Lepisosteus oculatus: one gene and its partner. The protein of the gene in region 1 purifies or fractionates together with the protein of each later gene. This does not show direct contact. Links are inferred from orthologs where the notes say so. Each region holds a gene or a part of one and is shown on either strand. Other genes may lie near its edges.

Evidence for each region. The genes of interacting proteins can lie anywhere in the genome.
Region 2: the proteins of exoc1 (region 1) and exoc6 purify together in Homo sapiens (affinity purification with mass spectrometry; 4 studies listed by BioGRID and IntAct, counting the BioPlex papers as one, with this or other methods). This does not show direct contact. The link is inferred for Lepisosteus oculatus from reciprocal best matches to the Homo sapiens genes EXOC1 and EXOC6.

Annotation. Positions count from the first base shown.
Region 1 is NC_090696.1:77,656,198-77,664,097, forward strand, and holds the start of exoc1 (exocyst complex component 1), read right to left. Parts: upstream 3,188-7,900; 5' UTR 3,026-3,187; intron 2,386-3,025; exon of another isoform or gene 2,255-2,385; 5' UTR 2,247-2,254; coding exon 2,123-2,246; intron 965-2,122; coding exon 837-964; intron 1-836. Other genes in the region: exoc1l (exocyst complex component 1-like), read right to left, coding at 6,045-6,305.
Region 2 is NC_090699.1:23,699,130-23,707,065, forward strand, and holds the start of exoc6 (exocyst complex component 6), read right to left. Parts: upstream 3,128-7,936; 5' UTR 3,093-3,127; coding exon 2,995-3,092; intron 1-2,994. UniProt on the Homo sapiens protein: Component of the exocyst complex involved in the docking of exocytic vesicles with fusion sites on the plasma membrane.

The DNA.
Region 1 (7,900 bases):
AGTCAGGAAGGGGCATGTCAAGAGTTCATTTACCATGACGGTCTCGTATAAAAAATATACAATGATATTACGAAACCATTTCTAGAAAACAGCTCCCCCTCGTTGAATGCAGCTTAACTGGTTAACCCCACTTTCATATCACTGCACTGCAGCACAAATGTGGAGAAACAAAAACAACGCTTGTAAGAACAGCAAGTTACAATAAAGGACAACTGAAGACAGTTTCTTTGTTGCCTTTGACTCATCATAAATGCTTTTACATGTTCTGGGCAACTGCATTAAACTGTAAACGGTAAATTGCATAAAGCATGAAAAATGAATGGAATTATTCTACTGGACTTTGCACCAGTCGAGCAAAAATTACAAACAGCACAGGTTGAACAAGAAAAAAAACAGCATGTGTTCGACCCAAGATGATCACTTCATTCACATGCATGTCTAACTCAAGAGATCAAGTAAATGTACAAATCATACTGTTCAAAGGGAAACATTCAGAATTGAAGAACTGAATGGTAGGTGCATTTACAAACCCAATCACATAAGGAAGGGTACACATGCTGGGAGAAAGAGATCGCAATTTTAAGGAACTGCAGTTACAAAAGCGAAGATGTACTGTAGCAGGACGAAAGGAAAGACTACAGTGACATTCGAAATCTGTGACCTGTTACTGACGAGGCCGTCTTGATTATTTGCCTCAAGTGCTACAGTACGTGCTTTGCAAAGCTCCTCATTTCAATTAAACCACAACTGAAACAATTTTCTGTATTAAAGCAAACGCATGACATGATCAAGGAGGCCAAAGAAAACACAAAACGCCCCGCTGTTTTCTTACAGACCTTGTTGGCATCTTTCGCGTCTACGATGGCCAGGTTGCTGAGCTCCCAGGCGGTCTGTCTCTTGAAGTCGCCCTTGTCCGACTTCTTCACCTTCACCACCTGCACATGCACGGGGCGCTCGGTGGTCACTGGAAGGGGAGAGGGGGGACGGCGGTCTTACAGGGCAGGCTGCTGGGTAGCGCACGCCCGACGTGTGAGGGGGCTTTTCTCACACTCAGCTGCGTTACTCTGTGCACCGCACAAGTTTGCAGGTGACACAACTTCACTCTTCAAGGGGTCAACAGCTTCCCTTTGCCACACTCACACGACCCGCTGTGCAACAGTCCCCACGCGCCGGGCGCAGCGGCAGCACCACTGAGCCTTAGCCACCTGCTTTCGGAAAAACAGGGACCGTCAGTGCAGATGAAGACTCGACGCTACACAGCATCAGAACGCCTACACAGAGGAACGCGCTCAGAAACGGGCCTACTCTCGGCGGCGCAGCGCGTCAAACGGCTCCGGAAACCTGGCAGTTTGCATCCAGCTTGGAGAACGTTTGGCACGCAGGCCCTGGGCGCCCTGCGTCACTGCGAGGGGCCGCGGGCGACGGGGCTGCAGGGGACTCTGGAGTGTGACAGCACGAGCCCTCCCCAGAACGCCGGACCAGGGGAGCTCGGCGCTGCTCTGGTCCCGCTGGCGCCACAGACACCCACCCCGTCACGAGCGGACGCACAACTCCCAGTCGGGCGCCCGTGGCAGAGGGACGGTCATCTCCCGCCAACGCGGCGCTGGGGCTCTTTTCGGAACGCACGATTTCACTGAGGTTACGTTTCAGAACACCACTTTCCCGGGAATCGGTTTCCTGGCGCGGGACTCCAGAAGCCAACAGGAGTCTGGTGTGATAATGACCGGATCTTTCCACATCAGCAGCAGCGCTCCAACCCCACCACGGATAAATGAAATCTCAATAAATGGCGAGACCCCATAATCCAGCCATCCAGCCGTTTTCCACCGTTTTCTCCAGAGCAGGGTCGTGGAGGGAGCCGGAGCCTATCCCAGCAAGCAACAGGGGCCAGGCAGGACTCACCCCGGGCCTCACCAGAGCACACAAAGGGCACGCAGACAGCACCCCGGGTCTGGAATCGGACCCAGGGCCCCAGCGCTGCGAGGCTGTAATACTGACCACTACGCCACCCTACAGCGCACGATTCGTGCTGGAGACTGGGGGGCTGGACCGCAAAGCGCTCGCGGGTCTCCCACCCACGCCCGCTCGTTTCCAGGCACGCAGCCCGGCCCGCCGGACGCACCTGTGGCGCACAGGAAGCAGTTCTTCTTCTTCTTCCCGGCCTTGCACACGTTGACGATGCTGAGGAGCCGCTCGTCGCTGGGCGTGAAGATGTCCCTCTGCAGGGCGTGCTTGATGGCCGTCATCCCTCCTGCTGCAGGCACACGCCGTACTTACTGCCGGGCACGCGAGGGCAGGGAGAGGGGCAGGGCTCCGTGCCAGAGCACCCGTTCGTACCACTGCTGCACGTTTGTTTGTGTTGTTTATTCAGCACTTTTGCAGGTTCTTAAAAACACCAGGCATTAAGAACACTGAATTACACTGCTGTTACAATAAAACCGTGCAAGTCAACCAGGGGGTCCCTGAACGCTGTATTTTATTTTTATTATTATTATTATTATTATTATTATTATTATTATATTCCTGGGACTGAGAAGCCTGCCTAGGCTGGCAGACTGCACCGAGGGAAGCCCTCGGGATTTCAACAGCCCACACTTCAACCAAGAGTGCGAATTCTGCAGCGCCGTGGATCACTCCCCAGCAACCCACGGCGCAGCAGAACCCACTTCCTTCTCTAGACACCCGCACCGATATATTTACTGCATCTAAATTACTTCTGAGTCAGGCGTCACGAACAGTAATGCGCAACAAGGAATTAAATCCCGCAACCAAATCGCGCTACTCCCTAATTTTAACAACAAAGGGCGCCATGCATCTGGGGCTCTGACTACTGTAGGACTTATCCATGCAAGACATCCCTCTTTGATATTTATACCGCTGAAATGGAAGACCCCCAAACAGAGCACATTTAGTAAATACGGATTAAGTGGCAAAACGTAAACGAACAAGGGATTCGGGCTCGCCCTTTTCCAATCAAAATGCCCCCCAAACTATTACGTTTAGTTAACAAGGAAAGCACATTTACCTTAATAAAACAATGTGTATCGGGAATGACAATATCTTGCCCTTAGTCGCTTTGTTTATCCATACAAACACAACAATACGAGCCGCTTTCCTGTCATGAGCTGTTTCCAAACGCAGAGCTAGCTAGCAAGCTGCCCCAGCCCAGCTGAGTTTCCTGTTTCCGGATAAAAGGCAGGACGTCACACTCAGGAACAGCGGCTAGAGGAAGGATAGGGACGTCATTAGAGTCAGGGCGCTCGGCTGGCCGGGGGGAACTTTGACATCACGTCTAATGCATTGTTAAATCCACTTAGAAAGTCAATAAAAGCTCAGAAAAATGAATATAATGCATTAAAAAAGGAAGTATATAGTATATAAATATAAAGTATCTAAATATCACTGTGTAGTCGAGAAATTCAATCCAGGGCTCCAACTTTGGGCACTGCGTCTGTCTTGTTCGGGTTCGAGTTCGGTTCACTGCGACTCATTACAACGATAAAGTGGGTATTGTGTTGTGTAGTAGGAAAGAAAAGACGTTTTCTAAAACATTTTAAATCCAACCCTGATTCGTATTAAGAGATCCCCTCATTGAACGTACCAGTAATATATTTTCTTTGTTACAGATTTTGGGTGCTTGGCTTCTGTTAAAGCCTGTTAAAGGTGCTTCTAAATAAAATGTGCATTTAGTCTCAGATACCAAGAGAACATTCCTCCAGATTAGCATGGGCTCCAGTTAAAGGAAAGGTTACCAAGAAGAGGAGGCCGTTTCGTGCAACTTGTTCATTTGGTTGCAAGTAGTTTATTGATCCTAACATCCCATCCGGGAGCCCTGGGACAGATCCAGGCTGCTTCCAGGATGTTTCTGCTTCACGCCCTGAAGACCCAGCCTGCCTGCCTGCAGCAGGGCTCATGGGAGGACTTCTGGACTTCAGGAGGATCCCAAGGGAACTGCAAGACTCATTGTGTCAAAGAAAAGTTTCCAGCGTTAACAGAATATCACCGCTTTTGGATTTTTGGCAGCATCAGAACTTTAAATAGAAAGTGAATTTGGCTGGTCCAATTTGCAGAGAATAGATCCAGGATGTCTGGTGTCACATTTTGTGGTTCGGTTTTGCATTCTTGCTCTTTCCTCACAAACACAATGAGATTCCACCCCGATGCTCCTCCTGGGAACTTTCATTTCAGTCAAGGGCTCTAGCCAACCTGGTTATAAGAACAGGGACACGGAAGCTGCACATAATGGTCATTATCCCTACTTTTACCCTCAGGGAGGTAGAGGAAGTCTACAGTAGCTGCTTTCTGTAACCGAACGTCACAATATAATAAAAGCAACACAGACAACAGTAATAGATATAGGCCCCTCAGATTGGGTCAATTTCAGTCTTAATCGATATGTAGGACGTGATTATTTTTTTAGTTATGTTTTATTTTTAATGCTTTAGAAAACATTTGCAAAACACCTAAGGATGTATTTATAATAATAACAATAACAACAAGTATATTTTATAAAGCACATTTAAAAGGATTGAATTAAAAATGCTTTATAATATATACAAATTTGACAAATTATTCTGGTTTAAAGTAATATCTTTTACCTTCAGTTTCTCGATTAAATTCTATACTGTATTTACACAAACTGAGAGGATTACTTTATTTATAAGACACTTCAAACAGACCAAGCATTTCAGTACAGGTACTGTACATCACAAGCACTGCACACAGTAAATCCACATGAATGACAAAGTTATTTTACTCAATTTAATAATTGGAAATAGGTATGTTTTTATTTATTATTATTTTTGCTCTAAAAAACTTGAAATGTATATATACAACTTACGTAGACAACTGTTCATTTTCAAATTATTTAAAATATTTTCAGATATTTTTAAAAGCATTTGTATTTTGGTGAACACAAATAAAATAACTACAAATCATCAGAAAGAAAATAAATAATAAAATTGAAAATCTAAGTGTTTTTATTAATTAACTTAATAACTTCATTGCATAACTTTACTAACTCTACAAGTGTTAGTCAAAAGGAAAAAACAGTGAAAAGTGCCGGAAAGTGAAGAGAAATTTGTATTTCCGATCAAGCTATTAATATGAGACAGAACTGTAGACTTTCTTTTGTTATTGGGTATTAAAACATAGTGTTAAAAGTTTAGAAATATGTTGAATGTATGCGTTTTTCACATGGGAGTGTACTGTATGTGTTACCTGGTCACAAGCAAACAAGAAGCTCTTACTTGTGAGTTTCACTGTGGTCAGCTGGACATGTACACATGAAAGCATAAGTTTCACCTGCCCACAGTTCGTCTGCGGACACGACACACAAATCAAATCTTTCATGGTTTTCATACAAAGCATATACGCAAATGCATTCCTATTTCACTTTGTTTACATGTGTTGTGGGCACCAGAGTGGCCTCTCTAATGATGACTTTAACCTATTGCTTGAGAAAGGAGAAAGAAAGCAGAATCCTAATTTCCTGCGTTGTTCATCCTACTACAACCCGAAAAAGCTAAATGAACAACAAGATGACCAAAAGCTTTCTTCTGAAGAAGGGGAATATGCAATGATTCAGTACACAGTCTGTTATCTTGTACATTGCATTTATAAAACCTTAACAAATCGTGAGATTGACACATCACTGTGTTATACCCTGTGACCCGACTGAAGGTGCTGCTGTGGTGCACTGAGTGAACTACAGCCCAGTTTGACTTCAGCCAGAGGCCATCAGTCACAGTGACAGACACCTCTCTCAGGCTCCCACCAGCAGTGATAGTGCTAACTGCACTGCAGACTGCAGAGAGGGGTCAGAGGGTCAGAGTCCGTACTGCAAGTGAGATTTCAGCTGAAGCAAAAATCTTGAAAAGAAACGACATGACTGTTAAACACGTCACGTCCCTCCTGTCTCTCTTCAACACCTTCACTTCCAGGCTTTGGCTGATGTGTTGGACACTCCCGCACACTGAGCCCCATGGAGAAGGGGCGACATTTCTGACTGAGGAGTACCGGAGCTCTGCCGTCTGGAAGCCCGCCTAGGAAACGGGACACAGTGACAGGCACACGAGGTTGAAAGCATAGAAGCAGATTTGCATGATCACCATGCAGTCCCCTCTGTTGGACGACAGGGATGTGGGCTCGATGTAGGTGATGTCGAAGTTCGCTATCTTGAGCTCCCTCTGGCAGTAGGTCCCGCTGAGCCGCGTCAGGCAGCGAGCGAAGGAGTACTTGGCCGCGCAGCTCAGGGCCTCCAACTTGTGCACTTTGTCAAAGTGCATGTCGAAGAACGGGTCATCCTGGAATGGGAGAGGAGGGAGGAATGCTTAGAGATTTCACACAGATGTACTGGGGGCGGAGCGGTGGCTCTGTGGCTCAGGATCTGCGCCTGTGGCTGGAAGGTTGCCGGTTTGAATCCTGTGGCTGGCAGAGGAATCCTACCCTGTTGGGCTGCTGAGCAAGGCCCTTAACCCCAGCTGCTCCAGGGGTGATGTACAATGGCTGACCCTGCGCTCTGACCCCAAGCTTCTCTCCCTGTCTGTGTCTCGTGGAGAGCAAGCTGGGGTATGTGAAAAGACAAATTCCTAATGCAAGAAATTGTATATGGCTAATAAAGTGATCTTATCTTATATAGACAGGCCTGTTACACAGTGGTTTTAACCTGGTTTACCCTAGCTGCAGCAAAGCACTGGTCTCTGGTCTCTGGGAAACCGAATTAGATTGAAAAGGCTTTCCTAGTGCTGTGCCTAGAATTGGCACATTTTACCAGAATTTGGCGGGTAGGAAAACCACCTGATAGTATATAACATCTGTCTAATGTAAAACAGAAAGCCATGACCTGCACTTTATGCTTTATCTCTAGGTAGGCAAAACATTTTTTTTGGCATTTGAGGAGCCTTGATATGAAAGATACAAAAAAGAACTGTCCCCGTTATATAAACGTATATAATATAACCAATATGTTTACAGGTTCTCAGAATTAGTACATAAAATGTATTGATAAAGAACAAGACTTTTCTAGCAGTTTCTAGTCAGAATGAAGATTACTGATGATGAAAGTTCAATCAGGTTTCTCAGCAAGCACTGCACATGTGGAAAAGAAATCACAAAGCATATTATTAAAACAACAGTTAACAAAACAAACAAATTTCATCAAATAAATTCATGCTACAGGGTTACAGAGAGTGTTAAGAAAAAAAAATAACTTAATGTAATGCTCGTGAATTGGAACTCTGATCAATTCTAGTGAGAATCCAACCTCAGCAGTAAAGAAGCAGCGCAGTACCCTGGAATATTACTTTAACCAGGGCGGCTCACCAGATCATTGTGAGGAGTGAGTGCATTAGATCACTATTAGATGGGAAGGCATACTTGTCTCATTCTAATAGTTCCAAACGACGGAAGAGAAGCACAGAGTGCTAGAGGAATCGGCTGGGAGCACTGTCTCTCTCTGCTTAACCACAGAGCCCTGTCTCCTCCATCAATTCTTCATTAGTGGCTAGCTTCAAAAAGGATAATTGCTTTGGTTCCCATAATTATCAAAGACATGACTTGCACTTTGTGCTTTATCCCTAGGTAGGCAAAAACCTTTTTTTTTGCATTTGAGGAGCCTTGATGCGGAAAAGCAATAAACCCGATTGTCCCTTTTCCTTGCCGTTCTGTAAATCTCTATTTTGTCACCCATGACATTCGTAGAAAGATGACATTAGGAGTAAAACCACTGTACCAAATAGAAAAAAGAAACCAGATAAACCAGGGGAAAGATTTGATTTCGTTTCTCTTGTTTTTTGCACGTACCACAGAATAATATTGCTCATTCTTGCGGAGTTGGAAATGCATGCTTGTTATGCAGCACCTAAGGGACTGGTGACCAGTGCACTTCCTCTGTAATTTC
Region 2 (7,936 bases), on another chromosome or scaffold:
CTTCGGATGAGACGTAAAACCAAGGTCCTGACTCTCTGGTGTCATTAAAAATCCCAGGGCGTTTCTCGAAAAGAGTAGGGGTGTTACCCCGGCGTCGTGGCCAAATTTCCCATTGGCCCCTACCAATCATGGCCTCCTAATAATCCCCATCTATGAATTGGCTTCATCACTCTGCTCTCCTCCCCACTGATATCTGATGTGTGGTGAGCGTTTTGGCGCACTATGGCTGCCGTCGCATCATCCAGGTGGGGCTGCACATTGGTGGTGGTGGAGGGGAGTCCCCATTACCTGTAAAGCGCTTTGAGTGGAGTGTCCAGAAAAGCGCTATATAAGTGTAAGCAATTATTATTATTATTATTATTATTTTTCTCAGGTTCTTTTTATATCTCTGGGCCTTACTGTAAACCAGTTTTTTTAAACAATGCAATTACGATACATTTTAGTCCCCCAGTCCACAATGAAACCACAGCAGTTATGAACTGATGCAATCCTTGTGAGCAATGCTCTGTCCGGAACCTCCACTCCCAGTACAGCAGGTGCTCACCATGAGCATTTCTACACGGCAGTTATTCTCTGTGGATTAGCTAGTGTTACATATTTCCATGTCAAAAGGCCTGCCCTAGTCAATACGCAAAGCCAATTAGATTCCCACCTGTGATTTAAGCAACCTTTTAAGATTAAGGACTTTAAAAGGTGAATTTAACAGTGAGCTAAACAGTATCTGAAAGAGGAGTGATTAGCAAGTCTCACTTGGATGAACTGGGGTTAACACAATCTTAAATCTATTCGAATTGAATTTGCACATGAGTATTGGAAAATCTGGTTATGGCATGGAGGTGCAGTGATTAGCATTGCTGCTTAATTCCAGACCTAGGGTGCTATCTGATACACAAAACTGGTCGTGGTGTGTGTATCTGTGTTTGTGTCTATGTGTGCCCTTTGATGGATAGGCATCCCATCCAGGGTGTTTCCTGCCTCGTGCCTGTTGCTTGATGGGATAGGCTCCGGATACCCCGTGATCCTGAACTGGCTGGAGCAGTTAGAAATCAGATGGATGGTTATGTTGTAATGTACCACAGAACAACTGCATTTCAGCCAATGCACGAACGATGACACTAAGGTTTTCAGAGTCAAGCTGTTCAAACTAGCTTTTTGTTCTTCCATCCAATATACTTTCAATATGCTGTGAAAGCCATACTGAGGCTTGAAGCCACTCCAGTACAGTTCAGTGCACCTGAGAAAACCATCTCCTTCACTAGACCACTGAGTTAACTCATCTGAACAATCAGAAAGAACTGGCTGTGCCAATGTCAATGGCTAGACTGTAAAGCCTGATACATAGGTACGGTTATATCATTTTTACTGTGCATTTAAACACAATCTCGAAAATGCATAATACATTTGGAGCACTAAACTCCCATTACAGAATTTTTCCACAAAAAAGAAACTCCTACCAGTAAGGAAGAGAAACAGAAAAACTCCACAAAAATCTAACGCACCAACACTGAAAATCAGATCTACAGTGTGCTTAAGAGGAAACCCACAGAGCGCCTCCACAAATCAGGGCGATTCGGTAATTGTGACCTACTTCACAGATAAACGAATGGGAGAAACGATCCCTTCAGTGAGGGACACACAAAAATACATTTTCCGCCTTCAAATTGTAAAATGAACTAGTTGCTCGATGAGCATTTTCGTTAGCTACCAAAAGATGGTGTATCCGTTGTGCTTTTAAAGGTATGTGTATTTCATGAAATCAATAACTCTTGCAGCAGGTGACGCAAAACGTCTAATGCCAGTACTCTGAAGACTCACAGCAACTGTAAAAAAAAGCGTGCGTTTGAACTATTATAAGGTATGCCATACAATATATTATGCACTAAATAGGACAGGGAATCGGTACCATCCTTAATTCATCTTGCTTCGGCAGAGCTTTGACGTTATAAGGCACTACATGCCCATACATGCCAAAAGAGATTTTTTGAATTTCCTAAACACCCCCTTCCTTTCTTATGCATTTTAATTAGACGTAAATATTTCTTTGTTCTTCAGAAGACACGTTCAAAGGTATAATTAACCCTCCTGGAATTTAACATTTTTTAAATAAAAAAAATGTCTGCCGTCATTAGTTGACCCGTGGTTTGTTCTGCAATTGTTTCGAGCGAAGGTCTCAAGCAGGCTACAGTCAAGATTTCTTGGTTGAATGGATGTCCCACCTAGATTTTTTCTATATTTATTACGCCGTAGTTAATACTATCTGTGCTTTGCTTCAGAAACCGGCATTCAGAATCGCTTTTAATCAACATTCTCCAAACGCGAAATCACGCGCTAGCAACATCGTGCTGAACGGATACTGAGAAGGGGATCACAAGCAAGCGCTACCCCTTATCGAAACAGCATCAGTTTATTTTCTGTGTAGTGTAACAACCTTCAGATATCCCACCACACCCACTTATAATAACTGTTTCTGAGACCAAATTATTATAATCTCTACAGAATTTCTCAAGATAAATGTACACAGTCGTACTGAAGCTGTTCCCATCGTATATTTCAGACAATAACAAGCATACATAAATTCATATTGAACCGCTATATGCAGAAACAACGGTCCTATGGCCTATATGCATTTACTCCCTTTCATTTAAACACTACCTACTCTTGCAATTTGCAGTTTTGTAAATCCCTAACACTTATTTCTTAAAATAACTATCGGGTTATCGTTTTGTTGGCACTATTTAAGTATACAGACATAAATCGATAACATAGTATACAAATGTAACGAGACATTGTGCTGTTTAATTGCATTAGTATTTATTTCAAACTAGGAAGTAAGAAGCAGACGACTGCTTGTGCCGCAGTTCAGGAAGCTCAGCTGGTTAGCAGCAATAGCTAACAAAGGCCCGGCCGCTAAATTAATACACTTGCAAGGTCTTAGGTAGAAATTACAACTATGATTCAACGAAGGTGAGCACGGCAAAACGTTTCTCTCCCTACCGAAGCGTAGGGCCGACGCAGGCAGTGTCTGTGCTCTCGATTTCCTGCAGGATACGTTCATGCTCGGTGATACTCTCCAAGGTTGCAGTCTCCGCCATGTTTGTTGTGCTCTCGGTGACAAAGTGACACTGCGGGGAACGAGAGTGCTGCCTCTAGTCGGCGCTAGGGGGCGAGTCGGCGGTGAAGTTGGCAGCAGGTGTTCCAAAGGGGAAGAATTGATTTTGCTGGATTAAGCATGTTCAGAGTATGTAGCCTATGTGTTCTTACCTGCTTCAAACATAAAATCATGGACCGCCATACACATGGTGATTCACGTTTGCAGAAAATAAACATTCCCATTTAAACAAAGACTTATGCTTCGTTTGATTGGTTGTTGAATGTTTTCATTACAGGGCTACCTTACAGTATTTATTAATGTTTGTCTCATGTAAATTGGCATCATATTAAATGATCTTTTTTTCAGAGTGACGTGCACTCACACATATGCACCCTTTTTCTCTCAAATTGGAAATACTCTAACGTTTCATAAAATGTTATTTACTCAAGTAACAGCGCTCTGGAGAAAAAGAACATCCTGGGAACGTTAAAGAACAGAAATACATTCTGCGACGTAAAAGGAAAAGAAAACACAATGTGCTAGATGTTGAGTACTTCAGGTGTGTGAATATGGCATCACACACGAAACTTGTGGTTTTGTCGTCTTTCTTTTCACTTCACAGTGTGGAGTTATCCTCGCCTTGCTCCACTGCGGTGAAAATAATATGTAGCACAGAACAAAAAAATGGATCACAAGAGGATTCCTTATTTCTGTATTCAGTGTATAGTACGGTTAGATTAAATGATGCTATCTTAATGTTTAAAGTTCCATTCCAATCCCTTGGGAAGAAATACATTTACCTACTAAGAAAAGAGAAATAAACAGTACATTGTTCTTGTAAGAGTATGGTCTAGTCAGTTAGAAACAACAAAAATACTTGTCCCTTGGTATAATTAAACATGATAGGGAAAATAGTGGCGAAATAGATCTCCTTAGACACATTTCAATGAAGCGTGTTTAACCCGAATCGAGTACAACAGTCTACAACCCGTAACATGTTCGTTTTCTTAATTTAAAAATGCGCAATAGCGGATATAATATTAGGAAAAATCTCAGTTTAAGAGTGATAGTAATTGAAGGACAGCGTACTTTTGTTCGAACGTCCTACCAGGAAACACCACAGTTTATTCGGTTTAATTATTACTTCACAGAAGTTCACAGTCCATTCCGTGACTCTTACTCTATTTTTCTATTTTCCTAAATGCGGCTATTGTTGAAAAGAGTTGCCATTTAAGTTCCAGGAATAACAGACACGAGCACACACTTAGCATTTTACTTTTCTTTCCTGCTTTTAACTTTAAAAATGGGTTTAAGATCCCTACCTTAGAGTTGTTCCCAAAGGTAAGCCAAGTGTTTCTAGTTCTGCAAAAAAATTTTCATACACTTTATCTTCTCGATTCTCTTCCCCCAGGACACTGGGTGATAGGGACTTAATGGTTTTGTTGGCCATTGCGAGCTTTCAGAATAAGAGAAGGAGTTTTGGTGAGGGCTGGATAGCTTTCCTGCTGCGGTCAGCAAAATCACACAGCAGAAGGAAAAGCAATGCCCTTGTCATCCACAACCCTCCGAATCCAAGAATCAAAATCTTAGTTGCTTATTTGTTTAATAACTATCTTAAATCTCAGTTAACTCTTAAATGTACTCATCCAAAAATTAGGAGAAAACATAGTCATTGTCATTGTAGGGATTGTGCTGAAATAGGAGAATAAGTAATCGTTTCTGTTTCTCTAAAAGTAATCTTATTCTCAAAAATACAACATTTTCTTTGCATGTCTTATCTTATTTCTACTTAATTTCAAAATGGACGTTGTATGGTTATTAAACATGAACCTCGGGAGGCAGCTACTGTATAATCCCCAAACTTTATAAAAGCGTATATTCGTTTTTCCTCATAAAATTTGGTATTTAATCCCTAACATGTCTGATGCTTTACACACATGTACATGACTTGATTTTGTTCACTGTAAAACATACTACACAATAGGTACAGAACCGAGTAGGTGATGTAAGCAAATTTACATTTATCTTTAATCTACATTTTACTGATTTTCAAAAGAAGCCCTAACAATGGGGGTTTCCTTATTGTACCGAGAAAAACAAGACATGCGTGTAAAGGAAACGTTTCTGGAGCACAGGAACACCGCGCGGCTAGATCGTATTGTAAGTTGGAACTCGTGTGCTGACATTCTCGCAAAGGTCATTTATCAGGCGGATACAGTGTCAGCGTTAATGATAAATCAAAGAAAAAATATCCCAGTAAAGCCAGGATCCTCGAATCCTGAATATTGCAGGTCAGGGCTTCCACGTACGCCTGTGGATAACATTTCTTTCTTCTTCTGCTTCAACTCTCCTCACACCCCCCTCTCCCCTCATTCCTCCTCCACCACCACCCCAAACCTTTCTGAAACGCAGATTATGGTATCACAGGAAACTGAAACCCCCTCTCTTTTCTGATCAGATAAATGATGCAGATATTTTTGTTAACTCTTTCCATCCCCCGTTTGGACTTTCACTGTCTCAGAGCTTTGAAACTTTGAGGTTTCAAAGTTTCAAAGGTTTCAAAGTTTATGAAACGCTGATCTTGGCGTTTTGTGGAACTATGTTAGCCACTCTTTTGTCACATGAGTCACAATTTAAAAATGTGATGTTATCCTTAACTCATTCCCTCTAATGGCTGCGTCTTCCCGGTTGATATCCCGGTACCATCTGGTGCAAAGCCGAACTATACCCATGCAGGACGACAGTCCATCGCAGGCCACAAACACAATTTCGATATCCCAGATCGCAATCCTTTGGAAAGAAACCGGAATATGTGGAGGATATCCAGGCAGACAAAGGAATAACAGCAACTTTTGCATCTGGACCCCAGTAGGAATCGAACCAAAATCCTAACCGATCGTGACAGTCTTGCCTCCTGAACAGCAGCATTAAACCTCACGTATTAGCAGTAGGTGTCTGGTACCAAACTAAAGTATGAAGGTTTAACAGCCTTGACACTGACGAGTTGGCACTTTGAAATAGGAGGAAAGACCCTTACCTGCGTTAGCAGATTACGGAAGTTTCAATTTGAAATAATTAGCCTTTCACTCAGAAATATTATTTGAGCATGTATAATAATTGCGAAAATATGTCTGCATATGACAATATTTTGTAAAATTAAAACGCCCAGTACATTGCATGATTCAAATATTTTGTTGATAGATTTATATTTTCAAAATAATCTTGCATTTATAGGGAATACAATTAGAAATGTTCTAATTAATGGGAAAACCCCGATCTATTCTTTTCACATGTACATATGTAAACATCACATTAATGCATATATATTTTACTCTTTTTGTTTGATGGCTCTTGTCTAAAACTGAAAATGAAAGATCAAAAGAATAATATCTCAAACTAATCTGATGTGATGTCTTTCCTAAATCTGATTTACATTCTGCACATTCTGAATTTATCCTTCATCTGTCTCAAACAGGCAAAACAATCCTTTTCTTAAACAATGAACCCGTCTCAAGAGTCTATCCTGTCGGCTTCATTAATATTAAGGAACAACTATTAGACAAAGTGTTACCCTCTGTCTGACTAATCTTAACAGAGATTCTAAGATTGTGCAGACCTTGTTCTGTGACCAGAGCCAAAACCCTAGACAGTTTTGATAGCTTAAGTTGCTCTTTAATGAGACAGGCCTGCATCTTCAGTGTTTGCAGTTAGTTAAATTCAGAGTTTATTGTGTTCCCTGTCAATCTAGAGATTAGATAGTTTAGTTAGGCTCCTACTGGCCATTTAAGGTGTACTGCATTTATTGACTGTCTGGAATCAATATCAAAGCTTTGAAATCTACCTGACAGGTAAATACAAGAACGTATTATTTCTTGCTTCGTGATATCTTCGCTTACCAGGTGCTGATGTCTGTTTGTGTTTGCTTGACCGCTTGGTTTAGGAGAGCCGTAGTACAGCGGCCGTCCAGAAGAGGGAGTCTGAAGAAGAGTATTCTTAGCTACCACAGCGTTTCTCATATGAAGTGCTAAATAAATTGAAACAGTGTCATTGACAAATAACAGAGATCATCATACGTAAATGTCTGTTATTGGTAGTGTGAGGTAGTACGAACACAGGAACAAGGTACAAGAGGAATAAAGAAGAGCTGAAGAATTAGAGAGCAAAGAATTGTGGCTAAAAAGATAACATGTGGGCTATGCATTGAAGTGAGAACCTCATTGCACAGATGCACTGTGGCTTTTTAAATTAAAATATGGTGTTCACAAGCTTCTCAGTATTCCCCTATTGGCTTGATCCCATCTACTTTGATTCTCCTAGAGCTCACTCTTGAGAAAAGCTTTGACATTGCTCTACTGGTATCACAGGTCTTTACTTGAGAAAACTGTTCTCATATGGAGGGATCGGAAATAGAACCATTCGAATTGCAAAGACTGGTGCAGCAGTGTGGCATGTATTGGGGAAGATTGCCCATTATTAGACAGGACAGATGCAGTAAATCTACAGCTGGTATCAATAAACTAAAATGTCTCTCACTGTCTGCTTTGAATCTCGGTGCTGGGTCATTCCACCAGTGCCTTCTTTGCCCTTCTTTGAGAAAAGAAAATGAACAAACACTGACACTGTACGTTTCCTGTTTTGAAACTCTTTCCACTCGCAGAAGTCTCAAGAGACTCAAAGCCCCCTGAAAGGGTTTTGTATGCAAAGCTATTGTCGTTTTTGTCAAATGGCAGTGTAATAAAAAGGCACTTGAGGAACATTTAGGTCTCCTCTCTGATGAATTGCAACATGGTAAAAAGCTCTCACAGAGCACAGAGAGTCATATCTATTTTAAAGCTTTGTTTTCCA